2 linked regions of the Caenorhabditis elegans genome follow. The protein of the gene in region 1 interacts with the protein of each later gene in a pairwise test. Each region holds a gene or a part of one and is shown on either strand. Other genes may lie near its edges. The genes, in order: F09C8.2 and R11F4.2.

The links.
Region 2: the proteins of F09C8.2 (region 1) and R11F4.2 interact in a two-hybrid assay, tested with the Caenorhabditis elegans proteins (one large-scale study listed by BioGRID).

Annotation. Positions count from the first base shown.
Region 1 is NC_003284.9:16,138,306-16,150,003, reverse strand, and holds F09C8.2 (C3H1-type domain-containing protein), read left to right. Parts: upstream 1-2,981; 5' UTR 2,982-3,069; coding exon 3,070-3,134; intron 3,135-3,373; coding exon 3,374-3,801; intron 3,802-4,024; coding exon 4,025-4,278; intron 4,279-5,677; coding exon 5,678-5,797; intron 5,798-6,451; coding exon 6,452-6,659; intron 6,660-6,841; coding exon 6,842-7,099; intron 7,100-7,147; coding exon 7,148-7,949; intron 7,950-8,479; coding exon 8,480-8,633; 3' UTR 8,634-9,497; downstream 9,498-11,698.
Region 2 is NC_003280.10:4,079,947-4,089,155, forward strand, and holds R11F4.2 (G-protein coupled receptors family 1 profile domain-containing protein), read left to right. Parts: upstream 1-3,107; 5' UTR 3,108-3,146; coding exon 3,147-3,257; intron 3,258-3,705; coding exon 3,706-4,166; intron 4,167-4,726; coding exon 4,727-4,985; intron 4,986-5,038; coding exon 5,039-5,125; intron 5,126-5,329; coding exon 5,330-5,415; coding exon of another isoform or gene 5,416-5,419; exon of another isoform or gene 5,420-5,442; intron 5,443-5,987; coding exon 5,988-6,195; 3' UTR 6,196-6,351; downstream 6,352-9,209.

The sequences.
Region 1 (11,698 bases):
GTGTTAGACACATAAATGTAGGGAATTATGGAATTAACATAGATTGCAATCTCGATTAATGATTTTTAAATGTTATCACAATTTGAAGTTCAACAAAACCAGACTGTTGAGCTGTCGGTCAATTGAGCTCTCAAGTTGAAGCCGAGCTAAAAATGAATTTTAAGCCAACTTATTTTTCGATTTTGATTTAGTTCAGTTCTCTTAAATATCAGGTGCTCTTTAATTAATATCACTTAAAACACTAACTTTAGTAGATAAATATCGTATTTCCTCTATTACTATTGCACCCATTTGTTCATGTTTGACCGCTAATATCTCAGTTATCGATTGTTCTATTCAAAAACTGTCAACTGGCAAAATATTTGTCAGTTCTTTTTCTATCATTTTGCAATTTATAAGAAATTGATATCTTTAAAACGAACCGAGATATAACGTTTCAAAGTTGAGTAGTCGGGTGCAATACTAATAGAGGAAATACGGTAGCTCCATTTTTCGATGTATACTGCGGTTCAGTAAGCTACCAAATTCTCCAGTTGCTATTTTGCATCCATGAAGTTTTTCCGTATAAAACAATCTCACAAAATTTAAAATCAAAATTTAAAAATCGAACTTCCAATCTATATTCCTGCCAGGTCTGCACAATAAAACAACATAGACTCATTTCTCAACACCCTCTTATTTCCCCCTACCTGCAATGATTCCATGCATTTATACAATTTCTTGACCAAATCGACCCACGCATCTGCCCTGCGAGCTTAATGCTTTGCACTTTTTTTTTTGCCGAGACCGGAAACTAGAAACTGGGAGAAAATAGAATCGAGTACAACGTCACTCTGCTCGTTCTGAACTACTACTCTGGAATTGTTTTTTTTATTTTTTCGTTCTTTTATCCCCCCACGTTCAATCTTCCCCGTTTTATTTCTGAGCTGTTTTCTTCTCAAGAGAATCTTTGGAACTATTAGTGTGAAAGGAAGGACCAACGCACTTTTAGACCTTATTAGTCATGCGGAGAGCTGGAAAAAAAGGGTGATGGCATTATGTGGCAAGTACTATAGAACTTTGTATGTCCTTTGGAACGGAGAGAAGGAAATTGAATAGGAAATGGAATTGAGAATGACATGGGTTTTTGATCGTAATAATATGTGCGACTTTTGGAGCATATTTCAGACACTATTTGGAAAAGTTTGGGCCTATTTTTGTTGCAAATTTGTGTTCCCTGAAAGCATTTGAAACGCATTTAATAAATTTTCAAAAGTAAACCCACGTGAACTAGGTCAGAATTTATTGGCTCATATCTAATTTTTTGTCAATTTACAAACGAGTTCATAATGAGAACACTAGTTCATTGTGATGTTTTGCTATACAAGTAATTTTCAATTTTAGGTTGTCTAATTTTATAGCATTCAAATTGCTTCGATTTCTCTCGTCTTTAATGTGAATTAATTTTTCTGTTGGAGTTTAAGCAGTCTTCTCAACTTTAGATTTTCGACAATTTTAACACTGTTTATCTTTTAAATGAGTTCAAACGCGCTCCACGGAGCTAGCTTTGAAGGTACACAAAATAAAAAATGTGTACTGGAATTCTAGCGAAAACATATAGAACATTTTCATGCCGTTTTTTATATATGCATTGCATGATTTGTGCTGGTTTTTGAGATATCATTTTAGGTTTTCAGAGTCTTGTGTTACCGTGGTATTGCGACAGTGGTAAAGATGTTGAACTTTATACAGTGATTTTTGAGAAGCTCGGAAAGGAAACTAGGAAACTAGGTATCAAACTTCTTTGGCTTCAGTACTTCATTCCTTAATTGCTTTCACATGAATAATGCTCCGCACCAAGCTTGAAACACCGCAAAAACTCATCTGCAATTCAATGTGTACACCAACCAGTTCTCAAATTTCCTAAAAACAAATTTCATCTCCAAAACACATGCACTTCCTTGTCCTCCTCGTCACTCATTGTCCATACTCTAATTTCTCTGCGCTCTCCTCGTTTCCCAGTACGCGCAACATTTGAATGGGTCATCTTGCATCATCATAGCCCAGTGAGAGAGAGAGGGGCCCTCACCGAATCTAAATCTCTCTCTGTCTCTATGTCTCTCTCTCTCTCTCCTCGCTTTCCTCTTCCCCCCATCTTCCCACACCATCCGCTCGTTCGTTCGACCGCTCGTGCCGCTTGTCCTCCGCCGCCCTCCCGCACACATACACACACACAATTTTTGCCTGCCTGTCTACGCCTGCCTCGCCCAGCTGTCCTCTGTATCTCCGCCCTCGAAACGATTCGACATCTTGTTGCTATGGGTGGCGAGCTAATGACCTTCGATGCGCGCGCGCGCTTTGGCGCCAAGTACGCATTCGTCGGAAGTGATATTAGATTTTTCAATTCGTCCGTCAGGTGCTGCTGCTCTCAGTGGTTTTTATCACACACACACACACACAGAGTTAGTGAAATGAGCAAACCCACCTTCATTCTTTTTTTTTCTTGCTCCTCAGTCACCACGCCCCTCGTTTGTTTTTTTTTCGTGCCTATCTCTTTCGATTGCCCTCTATCTCGGGTAGTTTTTTCTCTCATTCTATGCCCTGTTCCATCGTGTACAGCAACAACAGTATTGCGAAATAGTTGGTAGATACATGTAATTCTTATATAAACACCTTTCAAATGTAATTTGCTTTGCGCGCCCCCCAAGCAAGCCAGGACCTCCCCTCACTTACTAACTAACTAACTAACCAAACCAGTACCTGTTCGTACGTTTTTGGTGGGATAGAACATATGTTTTGTTTCCATGTTTTGTTTTGTTCACTTTGAAACTATCTATTTTGAAACTATCCGTTCACTAGTTTAGAGAACAGTTTAAACATGAATTTTTATTTACTTTCACAAAAAATATCTTCCTCAGTTTCTCGCAGCAATGATTATATTTCATCAATCGTTCGTTGTTACTCATTTGCTGCAACTATATAAACATTGTATGATATTTCAGGTAGTCGTCCGACTCCTCTAAACTCTGGTGGTTAGATTGACCGTTGGAAACAACAAAACCACTGCATCCGTTCGTTGGGAGCAACATGATGACCGGCTACGGTTACAACTCAAACTTGGTTCAGCAAGTTCAGCAGCCACAGGTTCTCCAAGGGTGAGTTGTTTTCTTTTGTTTTTTTTTAATTTTTGAACAGTCTTGAGTTGAGCTGTAAAAATTTTAGAAGAAAAAACAAACTGATTAGTTCAATAGGAGCAAGTTAATAATGAAACACGAAAATTATCGATTTTTTTAAATGATAAATTTTCAACTTTTCCAGAAGTGATAAGTCAAAAAGTTTTCAGTATAGGAGTTTAGACTTACTTGACTTACTATAGGTCTTTGTTTTTTTTTAGAGTGAACGAAGAATGGACACATACTACGGGTCAATCACAGTACTACCACACGGATAGTGGTGCCACCGGGTTATCTAACCCAATGCTTTACGGGTCTGGCTGGTATCAACCGCCGAACTACAACAACTACCCGGCGGCGCCGGAGCACAACGTCGTCGACCAACAGCGCAGTCCGCCAGATGCGATGGACAATACACGAGCACTTGCCTATCAGAACCAAATGTTTATGATGCAAGCTGCGAACCTCGCGCCACCGCCACAACCAAGAGTCTCGTTTTCCGACGAGGAACTGTATCAGGCGTTGAACATGTCGCCACTTCCACCGACAGCAACGTTCCATGCTCTTCATCAGCAGCAGCAGCAGCAACAGCAGCATCAATCCATGAAGCAGCAGCATGCTATGCACTTGCAACAGCAGCCACAAACTGGTGAGTATTAATAACCATTTAAAATTAAACTTTAAAATATTATAGTTAAGAAAATAAAATGACGAGTTGGACTAGAAAGTTCCATATGATGTCAAAGTTGGAATTTTCCACTGTATCAGCTTTTGATAAAAAATTTGTTGCTCAAAATTATACTTATTTTCTCGATTTTACCATCAGCAGTTTCTAGGCAAAAATTTTACACTCATTAATTTACAACTTCCAGATTATCTTTCTTCTGAAGTTTGCTACCCTTCAACGTCCAGCTATGAACCTTCTGGATACAACGAGTCTGGGTATTGCCCGCAAAATTCTACGATTCTGCCAGATGATCCACAAAACTACCAACATGGTAACGATGGTGACGATGAAGAGTCTTTCGGAGAGCCCGAGAGATATGAGCCAATGTCACCGACGTTCTCGATTCATTCGTTTGCACCGACTACGTCAACGAATACTGCAGAGGCGGAGGATTTGGAGGTTTGCATTTTTTTTCCAGCTATTTTTTTTATTTCGAAATTATTATTGGTGGTTGATCATTCATTGCATTATTATTATTATTATGGCGGTGTGAGGAAATGTCGAGCTATCGAAAAACAGCTGAAATGAGAAGTGACGTGATCTGCCGGGGCTTGGCATCAAGCCAAGAATCAGCGCTGCGTTTGTTTACCCAGCAGCATAGCTCAGCATCCTCCTCTCTCCTCCTCGCACCAACTAATATTGTGTTGTTGTCATTTGAAAAGGGAAGAAGAAGTAGAGTGCCGAGACATAGGCCAAAACGATTTTTTTTTCAGTTGTTGTGGTGAGAGTGCGTCAGTGTCCCTTTTGTCGTCCCGCGCCGCGTGCTTCTTTAGCAGTTTAGTTTAGTTATTCTCCATGTGTACCACCACTGTCCTAGGACCCCTGGTAAACAAGAGAAAGGTTCGAGACGAAAAAAAAAGAACCCATCGTGCCAAGAGACACCGTGTGCAATGACAACAAAAACAACAACAGGAATAGCGCAGTTTTGTTTTAGTTTTAAGAAATGTGTGGACTAGTTTGAAGGGATCGTTTTGCCAAATATTTTACCTAGGTGATGCATGCAACTGTTTTTTTAACGACGCATAGGCTGATAGTATACCAACATCAAAATTATTCAAATTAGTAGATACGAATCGTGTCGAATTGTCCAATTTCGGTTTGATCTTTGATAATTTCAAGAATTTAGAAGGGTCTAGACGCACACTTTTCAAATGAGGCTTCACGGTTAAGAACGTGCTACGCTCAACTTTGGAAAAAATTCCAGTATTTATTGTAAATCAAAACTAGGGCTCCCGCGAGGTCGCCGCAACGGCGCCTCCGCCGGCCTCGGCGGTCGCCGTGCCGGCCTCACGACGTCACCCACGCCGCATGTGGCGCGGAACCCCGATCGCGTCGGCCGCTTCCAAATAGCCACACTTTGCACTTCGCTGCACACACACCATGTTACTCATTTCACGCCAAGTAGCGAAACCCCGAATGTGTCTGCCGCTTCCAAATAACCACATTTCAAACTTAGTTACAACACACAGCGGCGCTCGGCGTCGGCGTTAGGCCCGCATTTTGCGCCTCACTCAGCTGGGAACCCTAATCAAAATGTGATCGAGAGCCTGACACCGCGCGTTGATAGACGTGTTCCGTAGATCAAGACTGGGCTCGACTCAGTAGTCAATTTACCGGTCGGTTACATGGCTTTTTTGTGAAGTGATTTAAATTATCAAGCTACCAGTGAAGTTAGAATTTTATTTCCACTATTTATTTTCACATTGTAGGATTGCGCTGATAAGAAACTATTATTAGAAGAGTCTATTTTCTGTCTGTGTCTGCAACTGTACAACTCCAAAACCGCACATATTTCCAGGTGGAGCTAATCAACAATCACAAGCCGACTCCGAGGTATCAGCTCTCTGATGACATTGACATCTTCCTCCACACCGGCACCACCGACGACACGGAATACAACGACGACAGTGATTCGAGGGTAGGTAGCAGCCATCTTCAACAAAACAATAGATGACCTCTAGTCGGGTGTGTGTGTGTGTGTGTATGTGTGTGCGGGTGAAGAGACGAGGGGCACCCTCCCTTACCAACACACTCGCATAGACACACACACACACACACACTTTTGCCAACGTTATCGATTTTTATACATTTTTTGAATCAAGGAACAACGCGTGTGCATGGCTCTATATCAATTTAAGTCTTTTTTTCTTTTCCTGCCCTCATTCCTCATGCCTGGTGACACACTCTCACTCACATGCTTTCGTGGTTTTTTAGTCATTTTTTTCAACTCTAATGTGATGGCAACTTAACAAAAACTGAATTATTGAATCAAGTGAAAATTGATAGCTCGTAGAAAAAATGCCATTGCTCTTTGTTGCCACTTTTCCCACTTTGCACGGACGATTGTGCTTTCCCGATCGGAATAAAAAAGGGATTTTCCATTTCCGGGCTGCTTGGCTAGGAACTTTTCACTGTGTATTTTCAACAATATATATTTTCAAAGCGTACTGCAATTTTTGAAACCTTACATTAATATAAAAAGGAATAATACCTTTTCTCTTTACCGACTATGTCATTTGCCTTTCCCTCTTTAATTTTATACATTTCCCGAATCTAATGTATCGATTTTCAGCCAACTACAACGTTCTCCCATCGAAGTACGAAAGCCCCGACGCCGCCGGCATCCCGTCCTGCGTACGCGCAAAAGTTCACGGCTGCCGCTCAGAATCTGAAACCGGAGCAGCAACAGCCGACAACATCGGACATCACATCTCCCATTTCCAAGACATCACCACTGTTTTTGCAAACGACGGGTCAGGATCCTGCTGGATTTACTCCTCGTAAGTTTTTATTTTGTTTCGTGCTGTCATTGTATTCCTAAAAATACTTGTGTATCTGCACCCCAAAATGATTAAAATTTAATTTAGGAATCATTAAAATTTAATTTAGGAATCATTATTTCTGAACTTACAAAAAATAAGATTGGCCGAATCAGCTGATTTACAAAAACACACTTTTTCAGTGCTCACACCAAACTCGGACGCGTTGCTCCAAAAGAAGCTCAGCGAAGTCGTCCACAACCCGCCGCAACGAGCCATCGGATTATCTGCCTTCCCGGCGTTCCCACAGCAACCTCCGCACTTGACGCGTTTCCAAGAGAACCAGCGTTACGAAGGAAATTTTGTAGAATATCAGCCACCACCACCACAACAACATCAGCAGCAACAGCCACAAGCACCTGAAGGTTTCTATCCACCAATTAGTCTGAATACTAGATACGGTAAGTGTTTTTAAAGCTCACGTCCAGTTTTATCATCTCATGTTTCAGATTACGATAGTGATAGGGACATTCTTCCGCTGCTCCTCGACACATTCCAACCACTTCCGGCACCACCGCAAATACCACCTGTGACTGTATCAGTTCCAGTTTCTGTACCAGAACTTTTGACGTCAACGAAGAAGCCTTCCCAACCTGCAAAAGTCCCAGCTGCTCCAATCAAGGCTCCCAGACTATCAGATCAAGAACTTGAATCGGAAAGCCAAAAGCTTGCGCTAGACGTCATCTCCAATCTTTTCTCCAACAAAAAGGAGATCATTGATCGCGCGGCAGTACTCAGCGCGCCCAAAAAGCCTGTGGCAAGAAACCTGTTTTGCAACGACCCGGAAAGTTTGGAAAAGGCAAAGTCTAGCGAGCCTCTCACAATGAGTGTCCTAGACGACTGGGAAACTGCCGACGATGATGATTTGACAGTTCGCATGGAAAACCTTCTGAAGGATAAGAAAAAAGAAGAGAAAAAAGCGCAATCAATGTCAAAAGCTCCACCACCGCCGCAACGAAACTCGGATTGGGATACAGCGTTTCTCCAGCATGTGCTGGAAATCTATGGAGTCCCGGACTACAAAATGCAGGAAGACGTTGTGAAGGCAATGGAAACAATTGGAAACGGCGATTGCAAGGTGATGTGGATGGAGCGAAAAGTGGTGTTTGCCGTCTTTGAAAGTGTGAACCGAGCCAAAAATTGTCTGACTTTGTCGAAACATGACTGGCTGCGATTCCGGAGTCTGGCGGATTCGCCGAAGGTTGTGCAGGATTCTGCGAAAACCAATGCAGCTAGTTTGGGAATTCTAAAGTTAGTTTTGAAGGTTTTGAAGGACTATAGTAAATGGAAAGTTGACATAAACTCGGAATCAAAAATGTAGAGCAATAATCTCTCTTCCTAAACTGAACCACGCACCTACAAACTACGCAGGAGCCCTTGGTTTGCAGCGGCTGGCAGGCTCCTGCGTGGCTTGTAGGCGTTTTGTGCGTGGTTCAGTAATCTCAAATTTTGTGTCTCACTTTGGTATCTAATTTTTAAAGTCTCTAATTTTGTGACAGCTTTTCATTGCGCGCGCATGGTGTCAGAGTGTCCCATTTCTCTTTGATCTACGTAGATCTACAAAAAATGCGGGAAAAGAGACGCAGAGTTTTCAACTGATTTTGTATGGTTAAGAACGTGCTGACGTCGCACTTTTTTGACCAAAAAATTCCCGCATTTTTTGTAGATCAACCCGTAATGGGACAGCCTGATACCACGTATGCGTTGTCAATATTTTACGATCTGAAGTTTATTAACAGTTTGCTCATGTTATGCTATAATAAAACAACGTTTTTTTTTAGAAAAAAGCAGCAAACCACTGCGACAGTCGCCCGCCGGATGGTTGAAAATGCACTTGGCAAGAAAGCCACCGTATCTACGGAAAAGCGACAAGAGGAACGAAAGCAGCTTGCCGCTGCAAAAGCCGCCAAGAAAAACACAATCCAATGGGATTGAGTCCAACAAATAATTTCTCATTTACAAAATATCATTTTCAAAAAAAAAAGCTCACATTTCAAAAAAAAAAAGAAAGACGTCTCGGATTTAAAATTTGTTGCCCCCTCAACCGAACGCTCTCCATGCCGTTACCGTTCTGATAACTCAGGTTCGAAACTTCACTCTAATAATTTTTTTTCAATTGTTCCAACGCTTTAGTGCCGATTAGAGCGTAGTTGCAACCTGATAGTACCCAGGACAGTACCCTCTAGATCTTCTTTTTCTCCCACCCACCCATACCACATTTTCTCTTTTTTTTTCTATTCTAATTTCAAATCATCATTTTTACTCATTTCTCTTTTTTTTTCTTTTGTCTTTTGTAATTGCTGTAAGCTCACACTTTTGTGCCCCCTTCACACCATGTAAAACTCAAAAAAAGCAAAACATAATCATAAAAACTCCACCCGAAGAAAAAAAAATGTTAATAGCCCCAAGAATTGTTGTTTTCCCCCGAAGAATTTTTTGTTGAGTGAATTTTGACTATTGAAAAATCAAAAATTATTCAATTTTTGCGATCAGTCAAAATCTCTCCTTTGTCCCCCACAAACATTTAACACTATTTTATAGTATGTTCGAATTTCCCCTCTTGAAATGTCAAGTGTTGAAATTGTTCGCACTTTGAATGTCCCAACATTTCCCAGCACATTTTCTTTTATTGTTTTCATGGGCTTTCGATTTGGTCAATATTTTCAAAATATTCGGCCTTCCCCCTTGCATTGTTTGGAAAATTTCTAAACTCAATGCACCGTTTATTGGAATTTATTCAAATGCAAATTGCATGACAACAGTAATATAACGTTCAAAACGAATAAAAATTTCAAAATGAATGCTTGTTTTTCTCCTACTTTTTTATTTTCAGATACTTACTACCGACGATTTTTTTTCTTCATTTAGCATTTAATTTCACCCGACAAATAGCCAGTGAGAATTTTTTAGAAATAGACTTATAATGATCCAAAGCGACCTATATTATTAATAAAACACTCCAAAACATTTCATATTTTTCATAATTTCCGGTCAAAGTTTTGGCAAAGTGCTAAAATTTTGAAAAATATGAGTTTAATGAAACATTTTCTCTTTTTAAGCTCATTGAAGAATTGACGGTTTTGTTTTAGAAAATGACTAGCCGAATACTAAAAAAACAAAGTGAAACATTTTCAATTTCCGAAATATAGGGTTTGAAAATTGCCGAAAATGTCTGGCAAATGGCAATTTTGGCAAATTTGAATATTGCCGAAATTACCGATTGCCGAAATTTCCCAAAACCGGCAAGTGCCGAAATTGTAGATTGCCGGAAATTTTGGATTGCCTCGCACCCCTGCTGCCTGTGTTTCTTCACCTGTCAAAACTCTCTGGACCTGTATTTTACAAACTTTTTTCAAAAATGAATCTGTAAGCTACGATGTCAGCCAAAATTATCTTGGCACAGTGTTTATATTCGAATACTTTTCAGTCCCCTTCTGGACAAATAGAGAAATAAATAGAAAAATGTAAGTTGAAAAAAAAAGAAGAAGATAAAACGAAGCTCTTCAAAGGCTTCATATTTTCTAGTTTGTGAGCCACTTCTCACTTCCTCATGAATTTGAAATGTTTCCATCACAAGCTTCTGGTTCTTAAACTTTCATCTTCGTGTTCCAAAAATAGTGTTAGCTATGTATGAGTTAACAGATAATTTGAAAGAAAACATGATGCAAACGCATGACGCAAATTCCCATTTTAGACAAGACATTTTTAGTTTACTGCTAATGTGTGCACATTTTTTTTGGTTTATTTTTCAGCATGTTTTCGAGATGTTTTGAGCATTATTATTAGAACTCTGGAAGACTCTGTGAAGATTAGCGAGGTTATGTTTAATTTTCTATGATCAATGCATGAAAAATGTCTCAGGTATAGAGTATTTTCCGTTAGAGAACTATAATATTTTGCAAAAAATTTACTTGATTTACAGTACCTACACTCCATTTTTAATTTGTTTTGTTAATACCTAACCAATATTGTTTGTTAAATAATCTAAAAATTTTGAAATAAAAATCAAGCCTGATTTCCACTTAGCAACTACGCACTAGTACTTCATTCTCATATTTAGATAGGTTCACATAAAAAATTTTGGAATTAAAAAAAATTGAGCAAATCTTTTTCATAAATAGTGCTAGTTTACGTATTTATATCAATCTATTTTCAATAAAACTCTTTTCTAAAACCAAGTTAGATATTTCAATACCGGAAATCAAGACTAGCAAATCGGAGATTTGCTAGGCTTCGCAGTTTGGTTCGGCGTAGAGTAACTCAAGAATAATTCGCTTTATTAAAGTTTAGTCAAGTGTTGAGTAAATGCTAAGTAAATGTGCTGAAGTTTGTCAAGACCGGCCAAATTTAGTTTAATATTAATTTTAGAAATAAAAATTTTCACTTGTCAAATTTTTTTGTTTAAAATAGGCTTGACGGATCTCCAACACTTCTTCGTGTATTCGGGCCTGCGGCCCTCAATTCGAGTTTTTGGGCTCAGTATAGGTTTAACGGCTGTCCAATACTTTTGTGTATTCGGGCTTCCGGCCCTCAATCCGGTTAACTGACCTAGGTGACCTTTTTCATTACCTTTCCAAAAACATACGTAGTTATAGAGCTTCGTAGTTATAAAGCATACGTAGTTATAAAGCTTCCTACTAGTCAATCTTCACCTATGGAACCGTATGGCCAAGTTACTTCCGGAGACAATGAGCCGTCAAATGTTTGCTTCACGATTAAATTCTATCCCGTTTAATTATTTTTCCCACCCAACTTGATCCTCTTAACTACTTCCGGTTTACAGGATCATTCAAATTATTCAAATCTGTTTCTCCCGGTGATTACTCTATACTTTCTGTTTTGTTACGACGTTTTTGAATAAATATATATATAGAAACATACCTCTCAGAGAAGGCCTCCAGCCTGCTCTGCTGGGAGTAGGGATAGAAAAGGCCTAAAGTTTCAAAGAGTAAGAAGGCGGCCCTAATCCCTGATTTTTGGGTTTGACTGAAAAACAATAG
Region 2 (9,209 bases), on another chromosome or scaffold:
GGAACAGGCACACGCACCACACACGCACCGCACGGTAAATTTTTAAAAATTATCGATTTTATTAATTGGAAGACCGAGACCTTGAATACTTTTCCTGTAAATTTGAATTGAAATAAGGTCTATTTTTATATCTAATTTCATGGATTATTTCTCTCCTCTTTTTCTATTTGAAAATAGAAGACAGGACAATAGAGAAGCCAATGTGCACTTCTTTTTTTGGGGTCAGGTCTAAATTTTGTTATGTCTAGACCCCCCACTCCCGAAAAAGCCAAAAAGAAAACGGGAAAATTGATAATTTGTGACACAAAGAGCTATTTTACGGGGCGGAGAGGTCATCCTACTTCCCTTGACGGGAGAGTTATGCACACATTTTACAAGGAAGTTAGATGAAGAAGTGCGAGAGGAGTACACTGATGGATTCCCTTGATTCTCACTAATAATTTACATATTAAGTTTGAGGAAGATGACGGTGACCCCTGATTTGATGTCATTTCATCAGACACATAGCTCAATTCTGCGTTGCCAAAGGTCAGACAGGAACGAAAATACTTGCCTGACCAATGCCTACCTACGTCTAAATCACAAATTACCACTTTTCACGTCTTAATTGGCTTTAAGTAAAAAAGTAAATTTTGGCTGTAGGCAGGCGCGTAGGCTTGTAGTCAACCTATTGTCAATTCAAGTTTCTTACTTCCAGTTCCTTCAAACTTGAAAACAATCTTTAATTTTGTTGTTCCTTTTTATTTTTCAATTTCCTGTTCAGTTTTCTTATTTTCCTGTGTTTTTCAATTTTTCATTTTTCCAAATTAAAAATAAGATCATGTTCAAAAACCTTTCTGATTTTGAATGTAAACTTTTACTTCTCAAAACTTCCTTATTCCTTTTCGGAAAGTAGGTAGGTAGGTATGTAAAAACAAAGCGATAGATAGACTGGGTAGGTAGGCACAAAGGTAGGCAGGTATAAAAGTAGGCATAGATTTTGGTAGGCAAGTACATAGGCAGTTATCTAGGTAGGCAGTAGTGTAGGTAAGCATGGTTTTCGGTAGGTAGGTACGTAGGCTGACTGATATAAAGGTGGGCAATGGTGCAACTTAGCAGGGATGTAGGCAAAAATGTAGGTAGGCAGAGCTGAAAATAGGAAAAATCACGTTAGAATTCAAAAAATAAGCGGTAGGCAGGCACGTAGGCAGGTACCTAGAAAGTAATTCATTTCAAAGATCATAGATATTTAAACTACATTTACGATCTAAAACATCTGTGAAAATCCACGTGTTGCGTAGAGCCTGAAAAGGAAAAGGTTTTCAGCCGTTTGTAGATCACTGGCACTGATCACCCGCCAATTTTGACGTCCCCCCCCCCCCCCTGCCACGTCACCTCCTCTCTACTTTTTCGACGTGTGTGTGCTCGGCGAGCTCTCGCCTTTCATCTTCATCTGATTCAATTCCTCCATTCTATTCTGCAAAGGAGAAGATGCCTCGGCGGCGGAGCCAACCCCAACTCATCCGTGAGCTCCGCCCCAAAAAAAGAGCAGGCAGTGCTCTCCAACACACATGAATATATGAAACATTTCATCTCATTTCGAATTCTTTGGATCTGCTCTTTCTTCTGTTGTTGTGTCTGTGTGTGTATGTGTATGTCATTGTTGGGTCCTTGTATGTCTTCAAATTCCGAACAAATTTTTGTTTGAAAACCCGCAATTTCCCTGTCTGGCGGTGTGCTATTTATTCACTCAGTGTTTTTTGTTCGAATTTCCAGCCAATTTTCAATTTCAAAAGCGCCAAATTTTCGGGAAAACCTGAAAATAATTACCTTGCAAATATCCCCACACCCCCACCGACACCCACCCACTTTATTTTGAAAAACATGTTCTGAGATTTTTTGAAAAGTTGAGAAAAACACGACAATTTTCATTTCCAACTTCCTTGCTCTTTGCTACGAGGTGTTTGATTTTTTCTCAAAATGCTTACGATGAGGCTTTGGCTTAGGCTTAGACTTAGGTTTAGACTGAGGCTTAAACTTAGGCTGAGACTGAGGTTTAGGCTTAGGCTTAGGCTGAGGCTTGGATTTAAGTTTGGGCTTAGGCTTATGCTTAGGCTCAGGCTCAGGCTTAGGCTTAGACTTAGACTTAGTCTTAGGCTTAGGCTTAGGCTTAAGCTTAGGCATAGGCTTAGGCTTAGACATAGGCGTAGACTTAAGCTTAGGCTTAGGCTTTGGCTTAGGTTTAGGCTAGGCTTATGCTCACAGGGTTTAGCCTGCAGGGACTTTAAAAACGAATATTAATAAACCTACATTGAAGTTTTCAAAAAGGAGCAAAACAATTCTGTTGCCGAATTGCCGAGTGTTCCGGCTTTTTGGATAGTAATATTCTATGCGTCATCCGGTTTCCCCCAGATTTCTGAGCTTTTCATTCTATTCTTTTAAGAGCGGTTTTTCTCTCACGCCATCACCCAACAAAAAGAGCACCCACTCATCTATTGCAACTTTTCTTCCCCGATTTTGTTCCATTTTCTTACTTTTTTTGCTACGAAAAGCTCAACCCGGGTGGTCCTTTTTGACCTACCTACCAATTTCAAAGGAAATCAAATTGATGTTTGATTCTAGGAAAAGAGATGTCTCTATCTATCTCTTATCCTTTTTTCTCATTTTTTTCTCTATGCAAATTTTAATGGAAACTACTTAGGATGTGGACGGACCTAAAATTGATTAGAATTGGCTTCACTGGGTGCATAACCCCTCAATTTTGAGCTGTAAAAAAGTTATTTTGAAAGAAAAAAATGTTATAATTTTTTTGATCGGTGTTTTACAAATGAAATTGCAGCTTTTTGCAAAAAATAAAAATTTAAAATTTATTCTTTTCAAGTAGATATACCGATGTTTTAAATATGAAAAACAAGGGAAGACGCAGACAGCGAGAGCGTCTGTATCTCTGACCTCTGCCCTCTCCCTCTCCCTTTCTCTTACTCCCTCATTTTCAAATTAACGAAACTCATAGTCAGCGAATATTTGAGCAAGTTGAAAATTTCCAACTGCAAAACTGTTAAAAATTCGATTTTCTATCTATCTTGTAATTAATCTCATCTCTATTGACAGCCCTTAACTCAAAAATTCAAGTTTTCAGCAAAATGAACATCACAGAAACAGCAGCAATGAGCGAGGCGTGTATGGTGGAGAGCCTGGATCGACGATGGTACCTGGTAGCAGTTTGTGGAACATCATTATCGGTTTTATCAATTGTTTCAAATATGTTGATATCAAAAGTGAGTGTTTTTCATAGTTTTGATTTTAATTGGAAAATGCTTAATTCAGCTTAATTTGACGAAAATTTTTGTCTTTTAAAATTGATTTTATTTTCGAAAAACTTAAAATTTTGCTTTTCCACTAAAAAAAGTGTGGTCTTTTAAAAATAATTTCATTCAAGATTTGTCGGAAAAAAGACATAAGAAAACGTATTAGAAATATTCAAAAATTCTTTTAAAAAAAGTTGAAAAATTGAGAGAGTTTAAAACAACTTTGAGAGTTATAAACAAAATTGCCAAAAACCCATGTTCTTCACACGAAATTTCAAATGTTTTGGGTAAATCGTATGGCGACCAATGAACGATGAGGTAGGGGAGGGGCCAGCGCCTGTGATTGGTCCAATTGTTAGCCTGACCAATCAGCAAGGCGATCGGGTCTGCAATAAGAAAACATCTTTTTAATTTCCAGGTCCTACTATCCTCGAAGCACACGCACTTCTACTTCCTAGCCCTACTCGCCTTATCCGACTGCTTCTTATCTCTAAACTACGGTCCCGTGATAGCAATGGACATAATCAAAGATCGTGTGAAACTGCGTTGGCTCTCAAATCTTTATATTCAATACGTGGGACCCTTACTTGCTCTCTCACAAACCTCAATGACTTTCTCATGCTACCTGATCATCCTGGCGACCATCGAGCGATATCTGATCACACTACGCGCAAAATGCCTCGGCACATTTCGACAATGCCGGGGACTCTCTGCACTTTGTATGTTCATTTTGGCTCTGTTGCTCAGGGCGCCCATCATTTTCGAAATGCAAATAGAACAGAATCCCGATTGTATTGGCGAGATTAGCGAGTACTATTTGAACTTGTCGCCGATTGTGAACACGTTTTGGTATGGAACTGTGTACCGGTTTTATGTCAGGTAGGTGCAGGGATTTGTTGAAAAATTGGAGAAATTACAGAGAGAAATGAACTGAAAATTTTTGAAATTAAAAAAAAATTGTTTGTCCGATATTTTTGAATCTAAAATTTATTTTAAACTAAAATTATCAACAAAAAATAGAAAAAAAAATATAATTTCAATTTTTTAATTGCATATTTGACCTAATTTTGAATAATTAGACTTAAAAAAGTACTTGAAATTTCAAAAGGAATTTATCGAAATTTCAGAAAATGGAAAACTCTGGAACATTTTTTTTATAACAAAGTATTGTTTTTAACCAAAAGTTTTTCAAAACTAGGTCGCCTACCTACTTGCCTGCCTACCGCCTATTTTTCTGTACTTTTGGCAATAGGCATGAGTGTAGGCACAAGGCAGATGTATAAACCATGAAATCAGACCTACAACTTGCTGAAAATAAAAAAATTTAAAGTTTTCCGTATCCTTTTTCTGCTCAATTTTGTCTCTATTCAAGCATCAAAAAAGTTATATTAAAACAATTATTTAAAAAAATAAAATACCAAGCCAAAAAAATCTTTCAGAAACATCATGACAGTCCTGGTACCCTTCGTTCTGCTGGCCATTCTTAATTACAAAGTCGTGAAAATTCTTCGAATGCAGCAGAGATCGGCGCAAATGTTCCGTTTTCTATCAAGTGATCATAAGACGAAAATCCGATCGGCAACAATTTTGATGGTATGTATCGTTTTCTCGTATCTTCTCGCGAATATTCTAAACGTCGGTGTCACACTGTGGGAGTACGTGGCATTTCAATCAACACAAACCGGAGACGCTTATGCGGTATGTTGAAAAGTTGCAAACAGCAAACTACAAACTACAATTCCCAATTTCAGTTCTACGAAACTTGCACCGATGTGACGTCAGTACTCTACATTCTGGTGTGTGCCACGCGTCTTTTTGTATATTATTTGTTCAATCAGGTAGGTTTTTTTTTTTTTAATTTTATCTGAAAAATTCTTTAAAAAATGCCTGATTTCTTGGATTCCCGCCAAAATTTTCTGATTTTTTTCCGAGTTTTAGAAATTCCAATTTCATAAATTTCACAGCAAAAATTATGCATCTAAACTTCTCTCAGAACCTTTTCCAATTCTCATAAAATTTAACAAAAAAACCAAAGATTCCAGGAAATCCGCGAAGCCATCAAACCTCTCGTCTGCCACAGCACGAGTGCTCCTCGCAAGCAGGACTATGTTACAGTAACCCGAAGCTTGTAAGTTTGTCTAAATCAATTTTTCGTAAGCAGAAATCTGAAACCTATCCATCACCCTGTCACTGAGTCCCGTTCTCTCTTTCAGACAATCCATGCCGTTGGCGGTAGTGGGCGCCCTAACATTCCTCGGTCCAAGACAGACCGGCATCGTGAGAAATCAGCAAAAGTAGGGGAAAATTAAAGTAGTTGAACTTCTGCTATCTATTTCGCATGTCTACTGTATCTCAAACTTCTATCTCCCAGACTCTCTTTGCTCTCCTCCTAATAACTTTCCGTCACAAGCTTACTTCTAGGCGCACACACTTTTACCAATCCAGTAAGATGTCGGCCGCAGCCCATTGACTGCAGCCGGCACTTCATGGGCCAGGCTGGCGTATGCAGGACCGGGTTGGCACGTGAGGTGTCCGCAGCAGATTGCAGCCGACATTTCACAGGCCAGCAAAGCTAGCGTTCGCCTAGCTAGCCAAGCTTACGAGGTGTCGGCTGCCGTCTCGTTTCCGCGGCCGACACTTTACGAGCCACCAGCTATCATCCTACCATTTTATCTTCCAGTTAACATATACTTCTTTCAGCGACTCCTCCCGCCAAATCGGAACCGAAATCGATGCTGTAGCAATTGCCATTGCTCGAAGGCTGCTCTCGAGTGAGCTCGTCTTCGGAGGTGGAGGCACCAAAGAGGCCAACGACTCATACGTCATCTCAAACCACCACGCGACCACATCTGGAGACGAGGAAACCGACGACGACGACGACGATGAAGAGATTCCATATATGGTTTGAGAAGAAGCGGCTCCATATATTTGCACATTCTCCTCACCCACCTCATTATTTTTTTCCTTTCTGGATTGTATACTTTACTTTTTCTTCTCCTCTCTCATCATACATATGACCAATATCACGGGGTAAAATAGCGAAAATAAATTGGTATGTTTATTCTGAATGGGGTTTTGCACAAAAACTATCAGATTCACATCTCATTAAAAACCGGATGCTCTTTCATGTCTTACTTGGTGAAAACTTCGGGAGACAGACACTGGGGGTTTCTTCAAAACCTGCTAAAATTAAAATTGAAGTTTTGATCTAGAAAAATTTGATCTACAAGTAAGGGGGGACCCTAATTTCAGCAAGCTTACTGCATTAGATTTTTCAAATTGAACAAGCCCGGTAGATGTCGGCCGCTGGAAAAATTAAAATTTTGTAAGACAGGAGCGCTTTCTTGTCAGTTCGGAGTGACCATCTGAGCTTTTTTCGAATTAACCAAAGCAGCTGATATATTGAAGATTTTAGTTCAAGCAGCCGAAACTTTAAAGGTGTGTACTATTCTCTGCAACCGACGTTTCACAAGCACTTCTTTCAACAAGCAACATTTTACAGGTACTGTGCTTAGCGGCCGAGGTTTCACAGGTAATTATCAAAACAGCTAAAATTGTAAGGCGCATGCGTCTCCATGCGTCTCTCCATTTACAGGCCCAATTTCGAGCAGCCGACATTTTACAGGCACTACTTTTACCAGCCGACATTTAACAGGACTTCAAATTTTTTTCTATTCAAATTTTGCATTTCAAATTTTCAAACTTCAAATTTTGCATTTTTCATCGATTTCAGGTGGTTTCAGAGCCTTACTTAAAACAAAAGTTCAACATTTTATTATGTTTAATAGTTTCACTGATTTCCACTAAAGCTCCCACAAAACTCCTTCTAACCAGGACTTTTCCACGTGTATTTTGCTGTTTTTGTTCATTGTTCACCGCTCGATTTCACGTGTGGACGGGCACAGTTCACGTGAAATGATGTCCCATTCTACCGTACTCTTTGTGATAATGGCTTATCATTTGTAGAAGCGGAATGTGAAGAAGACTGATGAATGATAGATTGAAACTTTCAAAAATCAAATTCGTAGGTTTTATGAATTTTTTTTGGGTTTTTTTTGTTCGACAAGAAAAAGGCAGACATTTTTTTGCAGAAAAAAGGGTGTAAAGTCTGAAAAAAAAGCGATCGATTCAAAAAGTGTTCAAAAATCATACAAAAATTGCTTTCGCTGCGGGATCCATTTTCGTTTAAAGACCCTTTTTGATAGGATCAATCCTTGATTTGACGTCTGTTCAATGATAACTTTGTGAATCCGAGGTCAGACCGATTCTCGCTTCGGGACCCTTTCTGATTCAAACGAATATCTCAAGATGTTCAAAAGATTTTCTTTATTTTCCTAAACATTTTGTGTTTTTCACAAGTCACGTCATTTCATTGACGTGGCTCCCCTCGAAGTTCAAATGCTCAACAAGAATCTTTTCTCAAAATCTTCCTCCAACAGCTGTACTCGAAGGGCCCCGTATCATTTATCACTTCCCCCCCCCCCCCCTTAACTCTCTTTCCCCTGTCTCGTATTCTTCAAAGATGATAAAGACAAAAAGTGAATCGTTCGATAAAGATAGAGAGTATTGAACACTTTCAAAAGTGTCATTAGTGACAATTGTTATTGCTTTACTCCAGTAGAATAACCTGTTGGAATCGGGAAAAATGCAAAGTTTTCAGGTACTTTTTAGACGAAAAAGTGCTGAGATTTGAGATGGGAAACAACAATTGGAAATAGGAGAAAATAGAGAAGATCAATTTTCAGCTACCAAAATATAAATGGTTTTTAAATTTTAAAGCAATTTCAACCAGGGGTGGGCGGCAAACGATTTTCATCGACAAATCGATAAATCAAAAAATTTTCGGAAATGGAAATTCCCGACAAATCGGAAAACCGGCAATTTGCTAATCGCTGAATTTGCCGGAAAACCGCAATTACCGAAAATTTACGGCAAATAACTTTTTTTTTTGGAAACTTCAGAATTTCAATTTTAATCGGCAAAATTCTATCCTAACGTTCCTAAATCTATTTTTAAAAATATTTAGAAAAAAAATGGGAAAAATTTCAAAAAGGCAGAGATTTAAAAATTTCCGTCTTTTAAAAAATCTTGCGGCCAATTGATGTTCGGCAAGCGGCAAATCGGCAAGCTGCCGAAAAACAACATTACCGGCAAATCGGCAATCCGGCAAACTTCACGGCAAACGTCTTGATTTCAACAACCTATAACTCAAAAACAAGACACTTTACAGGCAACCTTACAACTAATAAAATGTTGCCCAAAACGTATTCTTACTTTTTGTAATTGACAATTGTCCATTGTAGAAAATACTGAAATTCTACTTTTCTTGTCCTTCTTGGAATATTGATTCCACTGAACCATTTGAAGAAAACTGAAAACTCAACTTTTTTCTTTCAATTTCTCCAGTTTTCCTATCCCTCCCTTTCCATCTAAAAATAAAATTTCACGATAAAAGTTGATCGATGTGTAGCGTGGCAATTGGAAAAACTGACAAAAAAAAAAAAATTTCTAGGATAAAGTAGATCTAAAAAACAGTGAGACAGTTTTCAGAAAGTTTGATCTACGATAAACGCGGGAAATCTCTGTTTTGAATTGTGTGACGTCACAACCGTTCAAATTCAATTTTTTTCAATGTTTACTATGTATTGAAGTGAAAACACTGAAAAGGGTTTTTTGTGGAATTGCAGCTTAACATACCTGCCCGCCTACCTGCCTGACTTTGGAACAAATTTATCTCTGGAAAAATTAAGGCGACTGACATCTAGCGGGTTGGGTTTTGTCGATCGATATTTAAAGCAAAATCAAGCTTCATAATCCATAAAGAAAACTACAAACTTTGGCTGGAAATATTTGCACTTACACTGAAACTGGGCTTGTTTGGGATTGAAACCCCACATTTTCTGTAATTTTTTCTGCAAAATC